3 linked regions of the Ovis aries genome follow. The protein of the gene in region 3 purifies or fractionates together with the protein of the main gene of each other region. This does not show direct contact. Links are inferred from orthologs where the notes say so. Each region holds a gene or a part of one and is shown on either strand. Other genes may lie near its edges.

The links.
Region 1: the proteins of ARPC5 (region 3) and ACTR3B purify together in Homo sapiens (affinity purification with mass spectrometry; 5 studies listed by BioGRID and IntAct, counting the BioPlex papers as one, with this or other methods). This does not show direct contact. The link is inferred for Ovis aries from reciprocal best matches to the Homo sapiens genes ARPC5 and ACTR3B.
Region 2: the proteins of ARPC5 (region 3) and ARPC1A fractionate together in Homo sapiens (co-fractionation; 8 studies listed by BioGRID and IntAct, counting the BioPlex papers as one, with this or other methods). This does not show direct contact. The link is inferred for Ovis aries from reciprocal best matches to the Homo sapiens genes ARPC5 and ARPC1A.

The regions. Positions count from the first base shown.
Region 1 is NC_056057.1:116,721,547-116,725,732, reverse strand, and holds the start of ACTR3B (actin-related protein 3B), read right to left. Parts: upstream 2,875-4,186; 5' UTR 2,787-2,874; coding exon 2,743-2,786; intron 1-2,742. UniProt on the Homo sapiens protein: Plays a role in the organization of the actin cytoskeleton.
Region 2 is NC_056077.1:37,483,594-37,487,928, forward strand, and holds the start of ARPC1A (actin-related protein 2/3 complex subunit 1A), read right to left. Parts: upstream 2,804-4,335; 5' UTR 2,678-2,803; intron 1-2,677. UniProt on the Homo sapiens protein: Probably functions as a component of the Arp2/3 complex which is involved in regulation of actin polymerization and together with an activating nucleation-promoting factor (NPF) mediates the formation of branched actin networks.
Region 3 is NC_056065.1:64,118,416-64,122,061, forward strand, and holds part of ARPC5 (actin-related protein 2/3 complex subunit 5), read right to left. Parts: intron 1,458-3,646; coding exon 1,281-1,457; intron 1-1,280. UniProt on the Homo sapiens protein: Component of the Arp2/3 complex, a multiprotein complex that mediates actin polymerization upon stimulation by nucleation-promoting factor (NPF).

The sequences.
Region 1 (4,186 bases), on a different chromosome or scaffold from region 3:
ACATGGTGACAAGCAAACACAGTGTACGGTGCTGGATGAGGGCGGAGAGCTGAGCGTCCAGAGACACAGAGAGACCATTCACGGCATCCAGACTGCAGAGCAGGTAACACAGAGCAGCATAAACGTTAGTTTCTGGTTCTGATCACTGGTCTGTGAACGCATGTTCTCATAAAGGATATACTGAAGTACCCTGGTGTAAACAGCAGGATGGCTGCAACTCACAAACAGTTCAGAAAGATAATAACGCATAAAGTATACAGAGAACAATAAAGCAAATGTTAGTAGTTAGAATGCTGGATGGAGACTATATAGCATTTTCTTGGTACTCTTCTTGCAGCTTTTCAGTAGATTTGAACTTTCTCAAAATAAGTTTAAAGAATACAAAAATCTTCAGAACTACAAGTTCAGTTAAGAAAAGTGAGGCTATTCTCTGAACACTCTGGAGCCCAGTAACTCACTTAAGTGGACGAAGCTTCATCTGTGGAGCAGGCAGAGCTGTGGTCCATGTCATCCCACCCCCAAGAACACGTGTGCTCACCAAGCTGGTCTCAGGGTTTACTAGATGAGGCCAGGCTCCCAGGATGAAATTTATTTGCTATTTTTAAAAAGCACCATTGAGTATACTGTCTACTCAATCATAAATGTCCACTATCAGTGTGAATCTTTCTTTTAGAATTTAGTACTAGAGAAAGCTCTTTCGCCTGAGAAACAGGTATTTCTCTTCTTCCCTGATGACAGGAATTACATAACTGACGATGACTCTCTCATAATCTTGTCATACAGGAAGGCCAAGCTTGAGACCAACCAGCTGCACTGTGGGCCTACAGTTTAAGGTGATTTTCCAGGCCTGTTCCTTTCTTCGGTCCTAGTTATATTTATCTGCATTTTATCCCTTTTTATCCCATTTTGAGTTAAAGGTCAATCCAAAGTCACTTGGCTCTGCAGGACATATAAGAAGCAGTAATATGCTTAAATAAACTTGGGCTCTTCCAGGCTCCTCCTCCTGGCCACACACTGGACACTGGAAATTCCTGACTGACCATCACCGTTCCCACAAAAGACTATGTCCATGTGAAACCCACTGGCAGGATCCCTGGCCACTATTTCTAGTCCTGACACAACGCCTACAACAGCCTGAAGACGATACATAACTTGGGGCCAGAAGACAAAGATATCCTGAAGTTATACCGCCACGTGAGATACCACCTACCTCAGACGGTCATAACTGAGCACCACACTTTGGTATTTATAGCAAGAATGATGAGTAAGGCTCCCAGCTTACTAATATTAAAGGTATGACAAACCCTGTGGGCACATTTTGTTGCTTCTACCAAGAAATACTTTGTATTTCAACAGTTTTATAAGACCAAAACCACAAAAACCTCACGTGCAAATGTGGGGATGAAAGATTCTTTGACCAGCTGCCTTCTCTCCTGACACAACCAGACCTCAGGTGGGTGTGGGGTGAATACCAGATGGTGGGAGGAGATGCATAAGGAAGCCAGTATTTGGGGGTGGGGGTGTTCCTATCAACACTGCTTTTGGCTCAGGTTCTGGGTAGCAAAACAACTACTGAAATAAAGAGCCCCAAAACTTCTGGTACAACGTGTATCTCTGAAAGGAAAATTAATATATGCAAAGAAGCAGTTTTTTCCAGATTGTAACCACTCCTTTTTCTGCAGCAAAAGGAAAGAACAATCCGTAGGAGATGGACTGTAGCAAATTAAGGAAGACACCCCCACAAGGTTGTCAAGGAAACTGAACCAAGTGCGTTTCTCTACAGAGAAGAATCAAGGCTACCGTGAACGTGCCATGGAATATTCTGTGGCAAAAAATGACTAAAATCCCCTCTTGAAAAATCTTTCTAAGAGGCTAAACTTACTTCTGGGCTATTTTATTAAGCACTTCACCTACAGTGCAAGCAGGCAAGCTTGACTTTCTAAACCAAAACCTAAATGGATTCAGCGAGCACCTTCCTAAAAATGATCGGAGCCTGGGCCACTGGAAAGGACCGGGAGATTTCCGAAGGGTCTCTTTGGCATATCCCAACATCAAAAGAAGCAATCACGGCCCACAAGTAACGGGCTGGGGGCGGGGGGCAGACATAGAAACTATACTACCACCAACAGCCTTTCCCACATTTTGGTTTTTCTGTTTTTCAAAATGGAGCCTTTTTTAACATTTTTAAGTGCAAAGGCAACTCTAGGCAAACTAAAGCAAGACCTTAGCCTGACTGAACCATTCAATACTGGAAGAGGACAGAGTAGGCTGCAAACACACACACGCACGCACACACACACACACACACACACACACACTTTTTTTTAAAGATGTCAACTTGGGAGACGGTTGTAAAAACCTCCCACAAGTAAGTGATAAAGAAGCCCTATCAGGGAGGAGAAATGGCATGCGCTTAGGGACCCAGGACGAGGGCCACTTTTGAAGAGAAGGCAGGGGCGCCGTGAGGCAGGCGGAAGGCGAGGGAACGGCAGCGGGGTGCGCAGCCCGCACCCCCGGGAGGCGTACGGGTCCCGGGGAGCCCCGGCCGAGCGCAAGGAGGAGGCGGGGAGGCCACGTCTCCCCTCGGCTCCCTCCCCAGCAAGGTGAGTGAGTCAGGGGGCCCCTGGACAGGTGAGGGCCGCGACCCGGGCCCGGGGCACCCCAGGTGAGACCAGGGGGCCGGGCCGCGGGGCAGGCAGGGGCAGGCGCGCCGGGGCCGGAGCGGGCGCCCGCGGCTCTTACCCGGTGCCGCAGTCCACCACGCAGGGAGGCAGGGAGCCCGCCATGCTCGGCCCACGCGGCCGGCTCCGGAGGCTCCCCGGATCGCCGGCCCGCTCGCCGCCCCGCGCCACCGCCGGGCTCCCGGGAGCCTCCGCAGCGCCGCCGCCGGGAGCCCGGATGCTCGCCGCCGGCACACGTGACGCCCCGCCCACCCCCGCCTGGCCAATCACTACGATGACACGCCCTGTCCCCGCCCCCGGCCGCCCGCCATCTTTAGTGCTGGCAGCGGGGCCTCGTTCCCTGTACGTCCCACCTCGCTGCGGGAGAGGCTTTGAGCTCTTCTGACTTACCGTGGACTTGACCCCGAAGCCTGACTCCTCATCCTTTTAAGTCTCCTCTCAGATGTCACCTTCTCAAGGAAGCTGTCCCTGCTCATCTGCTAGGTGCCCCCTCACCCCCCTGCACCTTACTCACTATCTCAACAATCTATTGCTTTGCTTCACAACATTTGGAGCAAATTTATACCGTGTGTATATATTTATTTGTACTCCTATAGCAGGCTATAGGCTCCGCTAGATACGGCTCCTGAATGTCTTCCCACTGATGACAAGGATGCGCAGCAGAGTACTTGGTGCATTCATGCTGCTGCTGCTGCTAAGTCGCGTCAGTCGTGTCCGACTCTGTGCGACCCCATAGACGGCAGCTCACCAGGCTCCCCCGTCCCTGGGATTCTCCAGGCAAGAACACTGGAGTGGGTTGCCATTTCCTTCTCCAATGCATGAAAGTGAAAAGTGAAAGTGAAGTCGCTCAGTCGTGTCCGACTCTTAGCGACCCCATGGCTCCTCCGTCCATGGGATTTTCCAGGCAAGAGTACTGGAGTGGGGTGCCATCGCCTTCTCCGGGAAACACCCAAATGTTTTCTGAATAAAGAAAAAAAAACCTTGACGTTAGAATTCTTACACCTGTCAGAACACTGCATGCTTTCCTCTATAGAAGAAAAACCTGTGCAACAAATGCACGGACAGCTTTAAGGGGTGATTGACCTTCGATCAGGTTAACACTACACCAGGATCATTATGGAACATATTCTCAAGTATCAAAGGTGAAGTGATGTCCAAAAGATCTTCCTGGAACCCGGACCAAAGTTCACACCACTTACCAACTATGTTATGAAGGTCGAGAAGATTCCACTTGCTTCCTCCTCCCTCCCTATCATATATTCCTGACCTTACTTTTTAGGACTCTTCTGGAGATGTAGTTCCAGGCAGTTTAACTGGTATTAAAAGCATTTTTAAACTGCTTTTCCGTATGAGAAGTAGTGGTAGATTACTTGATCATGTTAGACAACCCATGATGATTCCTTTTTTGTTTGAGGGTGTTTTGTTTTTTTTTTTTTTTTCCTATACTGGAGAAGGAAATGGCAACCCACTCCAGTATTCTTGCCTGGAGGATCCCATGGGCGGAG
Region 2 (4,335 bases), on a different chromosome or scaffold from region 3:
CCTTCAAAAGAGGTAAACATTTACTCAATGGCATAATTAACTTCTAAAACTGCACTTCTAATTTTGTTATATCATTCAGGTTCCATATTTGGACCTACACTCAGGACCTGTACTTCTATAATCATGTGGCTATTTTAAGTCTGTAGACCAAGACAACATTCATGTTCGTCCAATTCATAAGACACCACCAGTGAACACAGCATGTGTTCACGAAACTCAGTGAAAGTAGAATAATGACAGCTTGGGGTTTTTTTTTTTTTCCACCAAGAAAAAGAAACCTGTCCTAGGGTGATAATTATCATTTCTAAACTGTGATTTCTACTTAAGTGAAAAAAAAGCTTATCTTATTGAAGATAGAGAGAAGAAAAAGGGACAGACAAAAAAAGGTGATGATATTAACAAACTTCTACTGATGACCTTTTAATGGCCAGCATGGAAAGGGAGAGAATGACTTCTTTGTAGCACGATATGACTCCAGGGGACCCCTCCATCCCTCAGTTCCTTTCTCTACCTATCACTTGAGTCTCTACCTATCACTTGAGCCATGGGCGGTGGAGTCAAGGGGACCTGGGTTTGAATCCTGGCTTTAATACACACTAGCCAGGAAATCCTGGGCAGGTCACTTGCTATCTCCCAAACTCATTTTTCTTCATCTGTGAAATGGACATAGAACTGACATCGCAAGGCCAGTGGTGGGAGGATTAAATGAGAAAGCACATGAACACATGTGGTTCAAAGCCTACCCCCAAAGAGATACTCAATAAATGAGTTCCCTTTCTCCCTCTGACCCAGCCCCAGAAATACACTCCAGGGAGTACCCTCTGAATTGGGAACACCTTCCTGGCCCTGGAGCTTTAAAGTAATTGTACAGTAGGGATGTCAGTTCCCTACTTAAGGTCAGTGCTCTAGACTGTGATTCATCCAGTTTTTAATTGCTCTCATCACCCAACCCAGCACTACCAGGTACTCTGACAAGGTCACCACACCCTCTACAGTGTTCAGGGACAGGTTCCAATTCCAGCCTCAACCAGCAGACTAAACCTCATTAGGCAGAACCTGTTTCGGCATAGGATTAGTTAACTAGATGGAATTACTGATCCTCTCCCTCCTAGCAGGAGATTTATTTTTCCAAGATGATCCCCTCCTTTAACTGTGATAAGCAGATGAATTAACCTTGGAAGGTCTCCAAATACTTTGAGGTAGAAGCAGCCACTTACACCTACTCCCTCACGTGGCAAAAATATCCTCCTGAATGATACTCTCTCCTTTTTTTTTTTTAATAGATACTTGAAACACCCAGGGTCTATTGGATACTAAAAGGCTAGATTTAGAAACTGATTAAAGAAAGAGGGCAGAACTAGGATAATTTAGGTAATTTCGGCAAGGAGTTGAATTAGATAAAAGTAGGTTAGCACTGCCTTCTGGTTCCAAAGCCCCAGTATGAGAACAGATGGCTTTATAATAAAAGATTCTAAACTACAATGTATTAAAGAAAGTGAAGTTGCTTAGTCGTGTCCAGCTCTTTGCGACCCCATGGACTATAATCTATCAGGCTCCTCTAACCACGGGATTTTCCAGGCAAGAATACTGGAGTGGGTTGTCATTTCCTTCTCCAGGGGATCTTCCCAACCCAGGGATCGAACTCAGGTCTCCTGCATTGCAGGGAGGAGATAAATATGCTTTACCATCTGAGCTACCAGGGAAGCCCACAGTGTATTAAAGGGCCTACCATATTCCCAGCAGTGGAGCAATACCAGGTTGGGACCAGAAACATAAATAAATCTGACACTTCTCTGGTCCACAAATCTGGGGGGAGAAGGGTAGAAGAGGAAGGGAAGACACACAGACAATATAAGAAGCACGAATAAAACTTAATTGAGCACATACTAAGGGACAGGGGCTATCCTAAGCAATGTATGCAAATAAGCTCACTGGAGCCTCAGAAACCCCTTAAGGATCTTATAAATGTAGATGAGAAAACGGGGATTCAGACCAGCAATCTTCCCAGGGTCATCCAAGCAGTCGTGGTGCCGGGATGGGAGGGAGGCTGGGCAGTCCGACTCGAGGATTAGAAATGAGAAAAGGTGCTAAAGGTTGCACGGAGGACTAGGAGCGCCGGGGGTCGACCGCGACTTAGGGGAAAGAGGCACTCAAGCGGGGAGATTCTTAAAGAACTCGGGGGAGGCTTCTTCGCCGGTTCGGAAAGGTTCCCCCTATAGCTGAAGGATGCAGGGCTGCCCTAGACAGGAACAGACACTCCAGGGGCGCTTACTGCGCTCAGGGACCCTATTCTAGACGCTGAAGCTAAAGGAATGAACCGTGCCTCGCGACGCGCGATAGGGTGGGGGTGGTGATCCCATTCACTACAATTTTAGCGCCTGTGATAAACGCCCACAATGGAAGCGCAGGAGAAGCGATCTTTCATTCTGGCATTGGAGGAGCATCGGAACTTGGAAATCGCTGAGAGATGGATCTGGGCGTGCGGGGACCCCAGGGCTCGGCAGGCCCCTCAGAGAACACCGCCTCCCCGCCCCCTCCCCCGGCCCGCCCCTCCCCTCCGCCTCCGGGCCCCGCGGCCTAAGCCCCCGCCTTGCTGCCCCCGCAGGTACAGATCGGGAGCGAGGCCCGGGCCAGGGGAGGCCAGCAGGGCCCGAACCTCGCCCCCGCTGCCCCTTACCTGGGATCGGGGCCGTCCGGACGGGCTCGGAGCGTTGAATTCGCGGACTCTGGTCAGTCGACGCGAACAGGCTCCGGCGGGCGCGGGCGGAGGACCGAGGCCCAGAGGGAGCGGCTGACAGTTCCCGGAAGTGGCCACGGCGCCTGCGCGGCGCGGCGGCGCGGGCTGTCGGCGCACGCGCGCCCCGGGGCGCGCGCGCTGCGGGGAAGGGTCGGGCGGCTTCTAAGGAGTTTGCGTCCAGAGACCGCTGGGAGCTGGTGGCGGGGCAGCGTAGACCTCTTGGTGCTTTCCTCGCAAAATGTCCTGAGACTCGAGGACCGAAGCGCGGAGCCTTGGCGCTTTCTCAAGTGCTTTGGTCACGGAATGAATTCCTGAGAATTGGGACCTTTTGAGCCAAACGAACGGACAAATCCCTACTTTTTTTTCCTCCCTCTGTGAGGAGGCCTCTTCAGAGCCCGCCCTCCCTCTGTGGAGGTCTCTCCAAGGAACGTTCTCTACCCTTCTTGGGTCAGAATCGTTCCCTGCTCCCGAGCTGGCGCCACAGGACCCAGGAGTTGGGGGAGTTCAGCCGTCCCCCAAACTCAGGAAGACAGTGACCTGAACCCCTCTTTCCACCAGACTGGCTGCCCTTGAAGTCAGAAATTATGGACCAGCTCTCCTGTCCCTGGGGTGATTGACCCGGAAACTTGTCAGGTGATGTTCACCACAGTGAACTTGTCAGATTCCCGACTTAACAGCCACACGTACTGTCTTCTCTGGGGCTGTTTATTCAGCGCTAATGCCCTGGAATAAATAGTTATCTTTGGTCCTAGGGCGTTCTAGGGCACATTGAGAGTGGAAAGATCATTTTCAGTTAATTATTCTCTCCTGGAGACAGCATCCTGGCAGGGGAAGGACCGCACGTGGAAGCGAGGATTCCTCTTATGTCTCCAAGTCAGATGAACGAATCCGGATGTAGAGTTGTTACCCAGGGTCAAAATGCCATCAGTGTTTTAGTTAGATCCCACCTCTTTACAAAGGACAGTTCCTTCTTTGAAGGGGTTTATAGGCTGGGTAAATGAGAGGGATACATACAAATCAGTAATACCAGACTCTTTATGATAAATGACAAGGTAAGAAATAATTTAGCCCCAGAAGAGTAACAATGAGACATTTTAATGTTAATCACTGATTCTATCTTTTGAGTTAATATTTTGCATTTCAGCCTAAACAAAGCTTACCATTTGATGCATTTTCTTTCATATTTTATGAGCCATTCTGGATGGTAGACTCTTAGTTCTTCAGGGGCTCTTAAGTGAAACCATCATGTTCTATAACTGAGGAAACAGGGCCAGAGGTTTTTGAGACTCCGGGAAGATTTTGATGGAAATCAGTGGCAATGCTGACATAATTCCTAGTCCAGAACATCGCCCCCTAATCGCATCATGGTCTGGTGTAAGAACCTTGGAATGGCTCAGATGGTAAAGTGTCTGTCTACAATGCAGGAGACAAGGGTTCAATTCCTGGGTTGGGAAGATCCCCTGGAGAAGGAAATGGCAATCCACTCCAGTACTATTGCCTGGAAAATCCCACGGACAGAGGAGCCTGGTAGGCTACAATCCATGGGGTCGCAAAGAGTCGGACACGACTAAGCGACTTCACTTCACAAGTTATTCTTA
Region 3 (3,646 bases):
AATATTATCAATATAATGTAAGAGCTGGGTATTAAAAATTACCTTACCAATTTTTCACCTAAAGCTAAAAATCCTCCATAGCCTTTTTTTTGGGAGAGGAGGGGCTGGGGGGATGGATAGTGTACCAGCATCTGCTAATACTGCAAAGCAAAATGCATGAAAACAGAAAAAAGAAATTAAGAATTCTTGATCCTACTCCTGATTTCATTTTTTAGAACTGTGATAAAATATGTAACATAAAATTTGCCACATTAGCCATCTTTAAATATAAAATTCAGTGGCATTAATTACGTTCAAATATTGTATAGCCATCACCACTATCTATTTACAATACTTTCCCATCTCTCCAAACAGAAACTCTGTACCCATTAAGCAATAACTCTCCAGTCTCCCTTCTCCACAGGCACTGGTAATTTCTAATCCATTTTCTGTCTCTATGAACCTGCCTATTCTAGATATTTCATGCAAGCGGAAGTGAAGTGAAGTGAAGTCGCTCAGTCATGTCCGACTCTTTGCGACCCCATGGACTGTAGCCTACCAGGCTCCTCTGTCCATGGAATTTTCCAGGCAAGAATACTGGAGTGGGTTGCCATTTCCTTCTCCAAGGGATCTTCCCAACCCAGGGATCGAACCCAGGCTTCCTGCATTGTAGGCAGACGCTTTTACCATCTGAGCCATCACAGTATTTTGTGGAATACAGTATTTTGTGTCTTTTTGTATCTGGTTTATTTCACTTTGCATAATGTTTTCAAGGTTCATTCATGCTGTACCATGTAGATAAACATTTTCTGGTCAAGTAATATTCCCTTGTATGTCTGTGTCAGATTCTGTTCATCTGTTTGGGCATCCCTGATGGCTCAATGGTAAAGAATCCACTTGCAATGCAGGAGATGTGGGCTAATACCCTGGAGGAGAAAATGGCAACCCACTCCAGTATTCTTGCCTGAAAGATCTGATGGAGACGAGCCTGGTGGGCTATGGTTCATGGGGCTGCGCAGTTGGACATGAATGAGCAGAGCGACTGCACACGCATGCATGCACGTTCATCTGTTCATGGATGCGTGGGTTTTCCAGCTTTTGGCAATTGTTAAAGAATTCAAATCAGCATCTCAAGACCAAGGCTAGCAAGCATAAATCTAAACTTTCATTTTCATGCATTTATTTGTAGTAACCACCAATGTATAACCAAAGAGTCAAAACAGGTATTTAGGCTAGAGGTTGTCAATGTTTTTTCCATTACAAAGGAACCAGTCATACAGATTGTATAATTCATGACTTACCTTTTCATGCCACTGCAATAACACAGCACTGCTATTGTCAGAGGGGCTCTCAAAGCCTTTATAAATATACTTCATTAGGAGATCCACACCATTCTTGTCCAGGGATTGAACTGCTTTTTCAATATCGTTAGCTTTAAAAGAGATGAGCACCTTCAAGACAATGCTGCCTGCGCGATCCTGAAGGTAAATAAACAACAGATCGTTCAGTCTCATTTTTGTGTTGGGTAGTTCCAGTTTTTAGAAAGGCTGCACTGCGAGTGTGACATTCGGGTAGAGACCTGAAGAAAGGAAGAGGACACCTTGGGTGTATCTGAGGCAAACATTTCAGAGAGAGAAGAGTAACTGCTGCTAGCGTGTGTTCAGTGTGCTCAAGGGACAGCAAGAAGATGAAGGGGGCTGGAGTGGAGTGCAGGGCAGGAAGTCAGAGAGGCAGTAGGAAGACAGAACGCGTAAACCCTGCAGGCCCTTATGAGAACTCTGGCCTCCAGTCACAGAAATGAGAAGCTGTTGGACTTCCCTGGTGGCTCAGAGGTTAAAGTGTCTTCCTGGAATGCGGGAGACCTGGGTTCGATCCCTGGGTCAGGAAGATCCCCTGGAGAAGGAAATGGCAACCCACTCCAGTACTCTTGCCTGGAGAATCCCATGGAGGGAGGAGCCTGGTAGGCTATGGTACTGAGCGACTTCACTTTTGCTTTCTTTCTTTCTAAAAAGAGTGATGTCATCTGACTTACATATCCCATGGAGGGAGGAGCCTGGTAGGCTATGGTACTGAGCGACTTCACTTTCGCTTTCTTTCTTTCTAAAAAGAGTGATGTCATCTGACTTACATTTTAACAGGACCAGCTGGCTGTCATATTGAAAATAAGCCCGGGGCAGCAGGAGGGTCGGGGGAGCAGGAGACAGAAGCCTGGAAGCCAGCTTGGAAGTTCCTGCACCAAGACAGGCTGGCTTTGGCTGGCATGGCAGCAGCAGAGGCAGCCAGAAGCAGACAGAGTCTCGACATATTTGAAGGTAGAGCTGAAAGGGTTTACTTACAGATAGATGTAACAAATTATCAATGTATTAAATCAATACATTTCACTTCTTGATTTAAAAAAAATAGACCAAAAGAAGGAAACTGAATTATAGTTCTACCCTGATGCATCCTTCAGAAATGTTATTAATAAATAAAAATTTAAGTTTCTAAAACTTATTTTTCATTTCACATCTATAGTCAAGTGACTATAGGTATTAGAGTGGTCTTCATTTATAATGATCTTTTTCTTTGATGAATGACTGCTCCAACAGCAGTTGCTTTTCACCTAGCAAGCCAAGTACACAGAACACTTAATTTCCCCTTTCAACAATGTTTCTCTTTCTATTCAACACAAAGTGATACCTTCTGCATTCCTGCCGGTCATGATCTTACAGTATGCTTCTACCACCTTTTGCTGTCTTCAGTTTAAAGACTATGCAATTATCCGTTTAGAAAAATATCCTTGTATGGAGAGCTATAACCTCCCACCCACACGCTCTGATTAAAAAAAAACACCCACAAAAAAGCAGAAGGTGGTAAAACGAAATTTCAATGACGTTACTCACTTTTAAAAACCAAAGAAGCATTTCCTCTTATAAAAGATTATGTTGCCTAGATAATAATGCATTTACCTAAGTTATTATTTACTAGTATTTAACTAAGGAGATACTTGGGGCTCCTAGGATGTGTGAATGGCTATGGACAGTGGGGGGATCAATGCTCTGGGTGTGGGATTATGGACGATTACATTTTTATTCCCCCATATTGCTGAGTTTTCTACAATACTTAACAGAACTAAACATTAAAATTTAATCTGAAAAAAAAAAGAAAAAAAATTTAATCTGGGCTTTAAACAATTAAGTAAATAGGTTCTTAAGAATTACTGAAAGATGGTTAAGAGGCAATGTAATTTTACAACTTTTCTGAAGGGTAGTATGGCAATACCATATGTAGCCTTAAAAAAATGTGCAGTCTAAAATCCAGCCATTCACTTCCAGAAATTTATTCAAAGGAAACAATTCAGACTTTACCAAGAATTGTTCATTTCAATACTATTTATGACAGGAAAAAAGTCAATAAATATATGATGAAAGTTTATATATAACTAAACTGCAGGATTATCAAAATACAGATGTTAAAAAAGATATTATAGAAATAAACTTATTACCAAGTAAAGCTGTTCATGTATGCTGCTATACAGATGAAAAGCAGTTTATCTATTTTAATGAAAAGAAAAACTCATAGAAAAACTCTATAAGCATACAGCAACAACAAAAAGTAATGATTATCTACAGGTATGGAATTATAATTATTTTCATTCCCCCACATTTCTGAGTTTTCAATAATATTT